Sus scrofa: one gene and its partners. The protein of the gene in region 2 interacts with the protein of the main gene of each other region in a pairwise test. Links are inferred from orthologs where the notes say so. Each region holds a gene or a part of one and is shown on either strand. Other genes may lie near its edges.

Region 1 (4,281 bases), on a different chromosome or scaffold from region 2:
ATAGGTACAAAAAATTACCTCAGAATGGATAAAGGATCTAAATGTAAGACTTTTCTCAAACAATAAAAACTCTTAAACCAGGACAAAAGATTCCTGACGCTGGATTCGGCAAAGATTTATTGGATATGACACCAAAGGAACAGGTACCAAAAGAAAAAAGATATATTGGTCTTCATGAAAATTTTTAAAATTTGTGCATCAAAAGACACTAACAATGGGAGTTCCCACTGTGGCTATGAACCCAACTAGTATCCATGAGGATGCAGGTTCCACACCTGGCCTCCCTCAGTGGATTAAGGATCTGGTATCGCCAGGAGCTGCAATTAAGGATTCGGGAGTTGCCAAATCAAAGATGCAGCTGGTATCTGGTGCTGCTGGGGCTAGCAGCTGCAGCTCTGATTTGACCCTTGGCCTGGGAACGTCCATATACCACAGGTGCGGCCCTTAAACAAACAAACAAAAAAATACTAATAGAGTAAAAAGACAATCCATGGAATGGGGAAAAAAAATTTGCAAATCAGATGTAAGAGATTAATACCCAGAACATTTAGAGAACTCCTAAAACAAAAAATAAAAATTAAAAACATAAAATCAGCAAAGATCCTAACTTGACATTTCTCCAAAGAATATAGAACAGCCAACAAGCACACGAAAAGATGCTCAAATCACTAATCATTATGGAAATGCCAATCAAAACCATGAGATACCAACTCTCACACCCACGAGAGTGACAACTATCAAAAAAAAGTGTTGGTGACACGTGGAAAAATCTGAACCCTTATTCACTGTTGGTGGAAATACAAAATGGCACAGGGGCCATAAAAAAAAAAGTGTGGCAGTTCCCCTAAAAAATTGAAAATAGAATTCTATATATATATCTAGCAATTCCATTTCTGGGTATACTCCCCCCAAAACTGAAATCTGCATCTGAAGAGAGATTTTTATATCTGTGTTCAGAGCAGCATTATTCACAGAGATAACTCAAACGTGGAGGCAACCCAAATTTCCACCAACAAACGAATGGATAAGCAAAATGTGGAATACACACACACGGAAATGTAATTTTGTTGCCTTAAAACGGAAGGAAATTCTGCAACACACAACTACATGGGTGAACTTGAGGACATTATGCTAAGTGAAATAAGCCACTCACATAAAAGACAAAAACTGATTCCACTTATGAGATCCTTAGTAGTCAAAATCATAAAGATATCAAGAACAGCAGTGCTTGACAGGGGCTGGGGGGAGACACTTTATACCACTCTTTGATTCAATGTTGAGCCATTTAACTGGTTACCTCTTCGGAAACTAAATAAATGGACAAAAAAATGTTGGTGGCATTTGCAAAGAAATTAATAAATGCGAAGATAACTATTACTAAATGTTAACAGGTGTTGTTTGGGAGAATCTATCTTTTACGAAACTCTTGGCATTTACTACCTAAAAAAGAAAGAACCTAAATCCAGCAGAAACAGGAAAAACAACAGGTGAGTCATGTTCATTTAGGAACTATTCTCTTCAACAGCAGGTTTATTGCCAACCACAGGTAAGTTCTTCCTCATGATTTTTACATTCTTCTTCTACCGCCCAATCGCAAAAATTACTGTTGCCAAAGTTAAATAGAGACTGTAACGGAATGACTATTTCCTGAACCTATTAAAAGGCATTTCCTTATTTTTATTTCGCAGCAAAAACCACATGATCCGTAATATTTACTCGCCATTTAAAGTTTATAAAGTACGGTGGCCACAGGGAAAATGGGAAAAACAAAACATTCTTACTGTTTGTCCTCAACCTCAGATTTTTAAAAATTACAGAATGGACAAATTTTAAAGTAATCACATATATAGTTGAGATAGAAATTACCAGCCTGCGATTGTTTTACCACATAATTTCCTTTTTTTAACCAATTATTTCCTTTGAAACAACTGGGTGTTATGAGTTTGGTGAACTACATATACTAAGAGCTGTGTATGGTGGAAAAAACAACAGTACACAAGTTATGCAGACACTACATACAGACTAGATAAAGCTAGACACTTCTTTTTAGAAGTTGGCACATTATAAGGCTCCATGACTCAATCCATTTTGGTGATAAAGGCAAACTTTCCATATCCTTTGGGCTCTGCTCTCACATCATTACAAGGAAATCCTGAAACGAAAGCTTTGAGTCACGAGCCCTCAAGGGACGTTTCCTTCGCAGCCGCGGAGCGGGAACCGCGGCTCCTTCCTCCAGCTTGTCCAGAAACCCGGCCCCGAGCAGCCTCCCCACCCCCACCCCCCCCCCACACAAAGTCAAGGCTTCACCCCAAGAGGACGCCTCCTACCTCCCGCCAGACAGGACGCTGCGGTGAGGTCGCCGAGAAAGAGCCCGGGGACGCGGCGCCCGGACGACCCGGAGACCGGAGCCGCCGCTGTCCCCTCACCGCCCGGGCCGCCTCCGGGAGGAACAAAAAGAGTCGAGGCGGCCGCGGGTGGGGGGCTGCGGGCCGACCACGGGCTCCGTCCTGGCCCCGGCCCCCAGTCCGCAGGGTCGCCGGCAGCCAAGGGAGCCGCTCGCGCAAACTTTCGCCCCGGGCCGCGGGCGCCGGGAGGGGCGCGGAGACCACCGACGACAGGGCGTCGCCGTCGACGCGAGTAGCTGCGCCGAGACGCCCCTCCACTAAGCGGCCCGGGGACTCTGCCCCTCCGGTTCCGTCCCCGAGCCCGGGACGCCGAGGGTGCGCCCCTCTTTCCCCCTGGTGCTCACCCCGGCCGTAGGTACCTGATCGCCGCCGCCGCCTCCGGTCACTGACTCGGACTTCCGAGACCCGGAGCGAGGAAGGCGGCGCGCGCCCGAGGACCGCCTGTGAGGCGCGTCACCGCGCCGCTCCCCCCTTCCGCTTGCGCAGGCGCGCAACGCTCTGTCAGGTGACCCCGTCGCCAGGGTAACAGGGCGCGGGCGGCTCAGCGGCCCCCACTATTGCAGAGATTGGGGATGTAGAGCCCCCCCTTCCCCCAGCCAACCTGCTCCCCTCTCTGGGCACTTCGTGACCAGCGACGCCACTCTTCGTCTGCCTCATTCATGATGGTTCCCATCACCTCGAACACAGGGAGCCCCGAAACCCTAGCCTTTGGCGATTTCTTGGCCAGCCTTGGACTTCTACCACCGTGGTCATATTCATCACCACCCTCTCGGTTGACCGCTCTACCTACAGGCTCTGAAGCCTTCCTCTCTCTAACCCTTCCCAACCCCTGCCCTCTTTGTGTTACAACTTGTTTGACTTTTTTTACCCTCTGCCCGTCTGAGCTAAAGTTCACGGGTTGTTGAGGGTTATGTGAGGTAGTGCACAATAGCTGTGTCCTAACACAAAAAGTGAAAAACTGTTTCTTAAGGGCTATGTTCCAGAAGATGTCCTAAGAACTTGATGTATACAGTAGTCTTATTTGATCCTTACGTCTATCTGAGATATTCTTGCTGTGTTTGGTTTGTTTGGTTTTTTTTTTTTTTTAACAACTGCAGGTACTGGCTTGTGAACTTCCCCAGGCCAGAGGTAGGATCACAGCTGCAGCTGCAGGCCTGCACCACAACCAGGGCAACACCGGTTTCAAGGCTCACCTGTGACCTACAGCTTGCAGCAACTGCTGGATCCTTAACCCACTGAGCGAGGCCAGGGATCAAACCTGCATCCTCAGAGACAAGGCTGGGTCCTTAACCAGCTGAGGCAAAACAGAACACTGAGGCAACATCTTTAGCTTGTGAAGACACTGAGGCACACTTTACCTAAATTTTCCATACTTACCATGGAGTAACAGAGCACTTGACAAAATAGCATTTATTACCTTAGAAGCATTTTATTTCTAGCTAAATTATTTAGTACACAATAACCTAATCTGGGGCAAAACTAGTAAAAGTCTGAGCATAAAAGAGGTGACAAGTATGTAATATGTAGACTGTGCCCTCAGAGTCTGAGGTCTAGGTGATAAAATAGATATTTAATTGGATTGGGAAGGAAGAAATAAAACTAGTTTTGTTCACAGGTGGCATGGGTTATATAGAAAGTCCCAAAGAATTGGCCAAAAAAAAAAAAAGTGGTTATAGCAAGGTAGCAGAATTCAAGTTTAACATATGAGCCAATTGTTTTCTTATATAACAGTAGTAAACAATTAGAATTTGAAATTAAAGGCACAATATCACTCATACTGGCACCAAAAAATGGAATAAAATAATTAGGTATAACTGACAAAAAATGCACAAAATCTATGTGAGGATAAGTATAAACATTCTAATGAAAGAAACCA
Region 2 (3,647 bases):
TCATTTCCGCTGCACAACGGGAACTCCCTATAAATTATATTTCTGAGATATCACAGGAACATATGGAATTTTTCTTGGAAGCAGAGTCTGTGTTTGCTAAGGAGAAATTTAGGTTGATATAAATCATTCAATAATGTGACACTTATCCATAGAAACCTAAAGAAGCTGGGAGATAGATACTAAAAAACTAAGAAATTCTCCTAATTTATTTGGATTTAATATCTCTATCTTTTAAGTCTATAATCTTTCCTACTTGTTCGACATGCCTGTTATCTTTTTAAGACTAGTATGAAAATTTGTTTTCCTCTCATTAACAAAAATCAACTACTCACCATAATACATGGGTAACTCATTTAACTACTTAACTTCTCAGATGTTTAGTTGCTTCATTTATAAAACGAAGGGGGGAGTTCCCGCTGTGGCACAGTGAGTTAAGAACCCTACTGTAGCAGTTTGAGTCTATGCAGAGGCATGGGTTTGATCCTCAGCCTGGCACAGTGGGTTACAAGGATCTGGCATTGATGCAGCTGCAATACAGGTCTCAGCTATGGCTCGGATTCAATCCCTGGCCTGGGAACTTTCATATGCCGCAGGTGTGGCCATAAAATAAAAAAATAAAATAAAGGGACTAGAAATGATTAACTTCAAAGGCAGTATATTATACTGAAAGGTCATTCTGACCTGGGTTTAAACGAAAATTAAACTCTGTATACTGCTGTAACTTAGAACATCATTATCTTCACACCATCAATTTTAAAAAGCCCATGTTTTGCCAAATAAGTGAGGTAACTTGGGCAAAGTAAATACAACATAACTGGCAGGGTCAGTACTTAATTTGTGTTCCCATTCCATCTTCTCCTTTAATCTCCTTCCTGCTTCAAAATTCTGATTCCCCTGAGGATGGAATGAGGTGAAGTGGATACTGGTTATAAAATACAACTGGATATTTAAAAAACAAAACCAACAAACAAACCAAAACCATTACCGTGGGGTTGACTGGTGAGTTAACTCTGCTTAAAATTCTATCTTATTTAGCAAGTTTTCCCCAAAGTAGGTGTCCGTAATGGTACAAAATTCAGAACATTCTTAGGAAGTAAACTGAATAAGCAATAGCATTTCAAATTAAAGAGATCAGTTAGATTTCTAGTATTAAAAATGTATGTCTTATTATAATGTAAAGAGATTCCTCATAGAAATATATGAACCCTGTAGAAAGATATGAGTATACTGGAACGTACTCAGGGTTTTCTAACTCATCAATGAACTCTAAGTCCAAATTACTTAAATTCCAAAGAGCAAAGTGTAGACAATCATTTGCCAAAATCCTGTATTCTGAACAGTGTTATTAAACTACTGCTTAAGGGAAACAGCATAGTACTAAGAAGCTGAGGGCACACTGTAGACAGCTCATAAAAAGGTGAAGGTTACCTGATCAAAGCAATATCATCAATCAGTCCACCTTTTCCATTATACACACTGGTGGCTTTTATGCCGAGTTTATTGCTGGCCACAGAAAGCAAATCAGATAAAGTTCCATACACCGCGACCACCTGTAAACACACCAGATTAATTTAAACAACTTATACAATTTTGTTACAAATTATAAACCACCACACTCTAAACAGGTCTAAAAAAAAAAAATCAGATCGTCATATAAGATTTTGAGAGATTTTAACAGCATCCTTTTCTTTGTGACTCAAATATTTACTTAATGCCTAATTTATCCATAGAACTAGAGAAATTTGTCTGACTGAAATCAACCGATAATCTTGTGTTAAAGTACTTGAGTTGTAAGAGACCCACACTTTTAAGAGACTTGCACTTGAATTTAGATTCTGACCTTTTATAGCAATCAGCTTAAGATGATTTAACCTCTTTATACTCCCGTGGCTTTCACGAGAAATGAAGACAATAGTTGCATGTGTATCAGAAGGTTGTCATAAGGATGAAATGAGTTAAGGCCTGACAAGAGCTTAGCAAGTCTTTACGAGGTTGGTTTTACATTACTCCTTTTTTATTTTTTATTTTTTTGTCTTTTTGCCATTTTCTTGGGCCGCTCCCATGGCATATGGAGGCTCCCAGGCTAGGGGTCCAATCAGAGCTGTAGCCACCAGCCTACACCACAGCCACAGCCACACGGGCTCCGAGCCGAGACTGCGACCTACACCACAGCTCAAGGCAATGGCGGATTCTTAACCCACTGAGCAAGGCCAGGGATAGAACCCGCAACCTCATGGTTCCTAGTCGGATTCATTAACCACTGAGCCACGATGGGAACTTTGACATTACTCCTTTTTTAAAGGAATGGTTTGTTTTTAAAACAGAAACATTTTACTGTTTATTATAACATTTACTACATCAAGTACCATATGAAGTTAACAACTTCCAACCTTACCGAACTTCAATAACTATTTAAGCCAGATTTTGACTAACATTCTAAAACAACATAGAGCTGGGTTACAATGAATTGCTTTGTCCTGCTTTAAATCAGGCAGTCTGGTACTTGTGTAATACACGCGCAACTGGTCAGGTAGGGGGCTGAGACTCTACATGGAGTGAAGTTTTTGCTCCAGTTAGAAATGTAACTAAGGGTTCCTAGTGGCTTTGCTGTATAGTTGTATCAGTATCAGGATCTTTCAAAGTTGTGAATAAAAAGTAGCTTAGAAGCTGAACTCGAAGCCCGAGCAACCAGTTGAGTTCCCACAGGATACGGGATAAAGGGGCCGCATAAAATGTGAACCAGGGCTGGTCCTTTGTTCACCCAAGACTGGAGTAAAACAGGCACTAAATTTTTTGTTAAGTAAATGAAGTTAATAGTAGAGTGTGGAGGAAGTTTGTTTGCCAGAATAAGAGTGTGCGATCTTTCAATAGCAGGATACAGAGACTCCAACTCTTTTCTCTTGGATCATAACCTCTGAGAAGTGTTGCAAGCTGGGGCATTTTGGGGAAGGGCTGTAGGCAAGCACAGTTTAAAGGGAACTAGGTGGATTGTTAAGAATAATATACATCACAACATCCAAGACATGGAAACAACCTAAATGTCTATCAACAGGTGGATTAAGAAGGTGTGGTAGAGACGGCCAAAAAGCACATGAAAAGATGCTCAACATCGTTATTAGAGAAATGCAAATCAAAACTACAACGAGGTATCACCTCACTGGATGAATTGCCATTTTGAAAAGTCTACAAACAATAAACGCTGGAGAGGTTGTGGGGAAAAGGGAACCTTGGTTCCACTGTTGACGGGAACGTAAGCTGGTACAACCCCTGTGGAGAATAGCATGGAGGTTCTGTAAAAAACTAAATATAGGACTACAACGTGATGCAGCAATCCCACTCCTGGGCCTCTATCCAGAGAAAACCATAATTTGAAAGAACACACGCACCCCAGTGTTCACTGTTGACACTATTTACAATAGCCAAGACATGGAAGCAATCTAAATGTCCATACATAGAGGAATGGATGAAGAAGATGTGGTACATATACACAATGGAATATTACTCAGCTGAGGAAAAGAATGAAATAATGCCATCTGCAGCAACAAGGATGGACCTAGAAATTATCATACTAAGTAAGACAGAGAAAGGGGCAAACATCATATAAGGTCACTAATATGTGGAATCTAATAAAAATTATACAAAAGAAC
Region 3 (4,320 bases), on a different chromosome or scaffold from region 2:
TAACCAAAACCAATATAAATCTCCCTAATATAAAATCAATTTTAAAAGAGAATTGATATTTCATAATCATCAATTCAAAATTAATCTTCACAATTCTTAGGGTAGCTATTATTATTACTCCAACTATGAAAATAGAGAAGCTATAACTTACTCTAATTTCAGAACAAAATACCACAGTAAGGAAAAGATGAGCTCTGGAGTCGGAGACATGAGTTTAAGTCTTGCAGCAAAACAGACATAATCATAGCACCCACCCATAGAGCTCTGACTAGAATTATAGCAAGTAAAATACTCAAGTCCCTTATATACAGTGAGTAAGCACCAAATATTCATTATTATTCTAATATTATTTTATAGTAGACAAAACTGAAGTAATGATATGTACATTGAGAACTTCAATTTCTGCTTATGAAAACTTAATTTTTCAACTATGTGACAAGCCTGAATGTGATCCATGGCATTCAGAGAAGTCAAACAATTTGTATTTTATATGGCCTTTATTAACTATTCCTTAACTTTTTGTTTTTTGTTTTTTGCCATTTTCTTGGGCCGCTCCCAGGCTAGGGGTCTAATCGGAACTGTAGCCACCAGCCTACACCACAGCCACAGCAACGCGAGATCCAAGCCAGGTCTGCAACCTACACCACATCTCATGGCAACGCCAGATCCTTAACCCACTGAGCAAGGCCAGGGATTGAACCTGCAACCTCAGGTTCCTAGTCAGATTCGCTCACCACTGAGCCACGATGGAAACTCCCTATTCCTTAACTTCTAAACAGCCACAGAAATATGTTTTGTGCTATCCAAATGCTGTCACTTATTTGATCTTCCCTTTATTTCCCATCAAAGTAGACCTAGATATTAGCAATGCAAGTGTACAAAAAAAGAAAAAGGAAAAGAAATTTAGGGAAAGAATAAGGCAAATACCGAAATAAGGTGTGAAGAGCTGTATTACATTGTAATTACTTCAAAATGCTCGTTACAAAGTACCATGGTACTATAACATATTTCTAAAAAACCTAACACTAAAAATCAAACCTAAAGTCTAAACAAAAGCATATTCTGAACATATATTTAGAAACCTATAGTAATAAATGTATTACAAAGTTTTAAATACTGCCTACTTTCACTCTCCCAGCCCTCAAAGGAAAACATACAAATATGGCAAGTATAACAAGAATTGTCAGGAAATTTTCTGACACATTCAGATATATATTGTGATACAAAAGAAAGCACTAAAGTGAGGAATGGGCAACGGGCTCTTAATTGAACTGTCACTAACTGCCCAACCCTCAAGCTAATTTCACTGAGCTATACCATTGGATCCTTCAAGTCAAATACCATTTCACAGTGTGCACTCCTAAAATGTTAAGTACTAAGTCTTCTCAGCCAGCACTGTTTGTTAAAGTAACTTAGTTTCAGTGTACCATTAGGTGCTGGGAAAATGTTTATATCCCGCCTGGAATATTTGCAGTGGACCTGAACATTCATATCCGCTAATGTCAGATTTCCGACCAATTATTCATATACGTAACCCCAAGAAATATACACTCCAAAATGTTTTGGGGGACTAGAAAACTTAGGAACTGGAAATTAAAGCTCTCTGATCTCCAAAATAATACAAAACACAAATACCTAGACCAACATCTGTACACAAGTTTAAATGTAGCTGAGTACCTACCTTGATATTATGCATTTAGTTTTATTATTAATACTAACAGTTCAAGTCACTCTACTCTCAAAAGAAACTTATTTTGCACAAAACATGGCAAGCATTATATATCCTTCAACTATAATAAAATTTATTCTATAGGTACATATTGTGCTTGCCTTCCTTTCCAAACTCATAAAGTTTGTAACCAACTTTTCAAATATTCTTACGATAGGTTTATTTTTTGTTCTAAAATTTTCGACCGTTCCCCCAAATTCCAAAACTCAGCAGACAAAAACAAAAAACTTGAGAGATTTTTTTCAACAACACATTTTAGTAATGCACCCCATTAAATAATGGTGATGATTTTTAATCATTACGTGACCGGTCAAATGAAGAGACCTCCTACAATACTGAGTCACTTTCCCAAGATAAAGGCGAGGGAAAACGAACGAACTCCTGGCTTCCTATTAAGGCTAATATCTCAAAGGCTGCCATCACCTGCCTAATTAAATGCCGCCGACTCAAACTTCCATTAAAAAGATTCTTTTTGCAAAGCCCGGGAGAAGGTAGGAATCAAACAGGAACTACAAGCCTAAGGTGACCAAACAGCCAAGGACACTAACCACACCCCAGAGTACCGCCCACCCACGTGTTCACAGGTGAGTTCCTTCCCATCAACGCTTCCCCGGATCTATGAACCCAGCTTGGCATCTCAGGCACTGATGGCGTCTCAGGTATGGGCAGGTCTGGCTCCGGCACGTAGGGGCACAAAATGGTTCAGCCACCGCAGACGGCCGTTCCCTCGCCCTCCTCGGGGCCCGAAGTTTCCTGGAACCGTTTTCGTGACGGCGGGGTAGCAAAGCTTCGGGGTAGGGGGCGGACTACGAACCTGGGGCGAGCCAGAGGCTCCCCCTTTGAGGCTGAAATTAACAGAAGAGACCCCGATGACTACTGCCTTCCAAGCTTGCCCGCTTCCAAGCGGCAAGTAGCACAGAGCTAGTGAGGAAAAGCAGTTTTTCACTCACCCAACGTGGGCACCTGGGAGTCCACGGCAAAGGCTGCCATCGCAGCAGCTACACCACTTAGCCCCGGACCTTCCCGATTTTCAAAAATGGCGGAAACTCTCCCCACGGGTAGGAGCGCGGTACCTTATGGGGTTGCGTAACTTCCGGACATGCGCCATACCAAAGTTGTGGCGCCAGAGCTGCCATTTTGGAATAGGGCAAGAGTCTGCGCAGACTCGACTGCTCTGAGAAGGATTTCTCTGGTAAAGAGATCAGCGTGGATCGTGTGGTTCTGGGAATGCTTTCGCTCGTCCTCTGAGCCTCCTGATTTGTTGGTGCTCGAGTTTTATAGAAGCGCAAGTTATTTTACTCACGGATTCATAAATAGCGTGAGTTTATTCAGTGCTCTGTCATCCGTCAGCTTTTCCAAGTACCACCTGGACAGGTTGGCTTGAAGAAACAGATTATGCCGCTTTCCAACGTAGGTTTCTGGGCTTAGGGCACCGAGCTCCTTTCTCAAGCATATTTTCTACCATCTCTATGCCATTTAAGATTTTTTTGTGTTATATGGGCACAATTTTACATTAAAGCATAACTCATACTTGCTCTTTTACTGGTTTATTACATGTTTATAAGTACAAAAGATATTAAATAATGGAGGAAAGTAATAAACACCCGTGCACTCACCATACTGCAGAATCTTGTGTGTTCCTATGCCATCCGGGCCGACCCCCCCCCCTTGCTGCTACTTTCCTTTCTGTAGAACGTATTCAAATATCATACATATGCTATATGTGTGTGTGCGAAAATAGCTTTTTCGTTTTGCTAATTTTATAAAAGTGATGTGCTATGTATATATATTCTGAAATGCTCTCTGGTCCATATCAAACTTACCTTCAAAGTGCTTACCCACCTACTCTCCCTGTTTCCTCTGGGATTTGCTGAAATTCAAAATCCAGCCAAGAACTTTATAATTTGTATGAGGCAATAACAATTCCAGGATTAAATGACAAGTTCCCAGAAGTTAAAGTTTTAAAACACTCACAGATGAATTATATTTTTTAAACATATATATATGTTGAACTGTGTCCCCCAAAATACATGTTAAAGTCCTAATTTCCAGTACATATTAATGCGACCTTATTTGGAAATAGGGTCTTTGCAGATGTAATCAAATTCAGATAAAGACATACTAAATTACTACAAAATTGGCAGCTTAAATCAACACAAATTTATCTTTATAGCTCTGGAGGCCTGAAATTCGAAATGAGTATTATAGGACTAAAATCAAAATGTCAGCAAGACTGGTTTCTTCCAGAGGCTCCAGAGGGGAATCTGTTTCCTTGCCTTGTGTAACATCTGGAAGCTAACAATATTACTTGGCTTTTGGCCCTATCCTGTTTCAAAGCCTGTGGCATAGCGTCTTCTATCTCTTTTAGCATCTGCTTATCTCTGCTTCAATCATCATATGGCCTTTTTCTTCTATAGTTAAAATCTCACTCCACCTCCCTCTTAAAGGATGTTTGTAATTACATTTAGAGCCTACTCAGATAATGCAGGATAATCTTCCCATTTCAATAGCCAGCTGTGATTAAGTTAATAGCCACAACTGCAAAGTAACATTCATAGATTCCAGAGATTAGAGTGTGGATATCTGTGGAG

Evidence for each region. The genes of interacting proteins can lie anywhere in the genome.
Region 1: the proteins of KCTD9 (region 2) and SDCBP interact in binary tests that used the Homo sapiens proteins (3 or more experiments, as listed by UniProt). The two-hybrid records come from large-scale screens. The link is inferred for Sus scrofa from reciprocal best matches to the Homo sapiens genes KCTD9 and SDCBP.
Region 3: the proteins of KCTD9 (region 2) and NUP35 interact in binary tests that used the Homo sapiens proteins (3 or more experiments, as listed by UniProt). The two-hybrid records come from large-scale screens. The link is inferred for Sus scrofa from reciprocal best matches to the Homo sapiens genes KCTD9 and NUP35.

Annotation. Positions count from the first base shown.
Region 1 is NC_010446.5:74,325,749-74,330,029, forward strand, and holds the start of SDCBP (syntenin-1 CG9291-PB), read right to left. Parts: upstream 2,810-4,281; 5' UTR 2,750-2,809; intron 1-2,749. UniProt on the Homo sapiens protein: Multifunctional adapter protein involved in diverse array of functions including trafficking of transmembrane proteins, neuro and immunomodulation, exosome biogenesis, and tumorigenesis.
Region 2 is NC_010456.5:9,504,166-9,507,812, forward strand, and holds part of KCTD9 (BTB/POZ domain-containing protein KCTD9), read right to left. Parts: intron 1,551-3,647; coding exon 1,429-1,550; intron 1-1,428. UniProt on the Homo sapiens protein: Substrate-specific adapter of a BCR (BTB-CUL3-RBX1) E3 ubiquitin-protein ligase complex, which mediates the ubiquitination of target proteins, leading to their degradation by the proteasome.
Region 3 is NC_010457.5:88,586,242-88,590,561, reverse strand, and holds the start of NUP35 (nucleoporin NUP53), read right to left. Parts: upstream 2,810-4,320; 5' UTR 2,720-2,809; coding exon 2,680-2,719; intron 1-2,679. UniProt on the Homo sapiens protein: Functions as a component of the nuclear pore complex (NPC).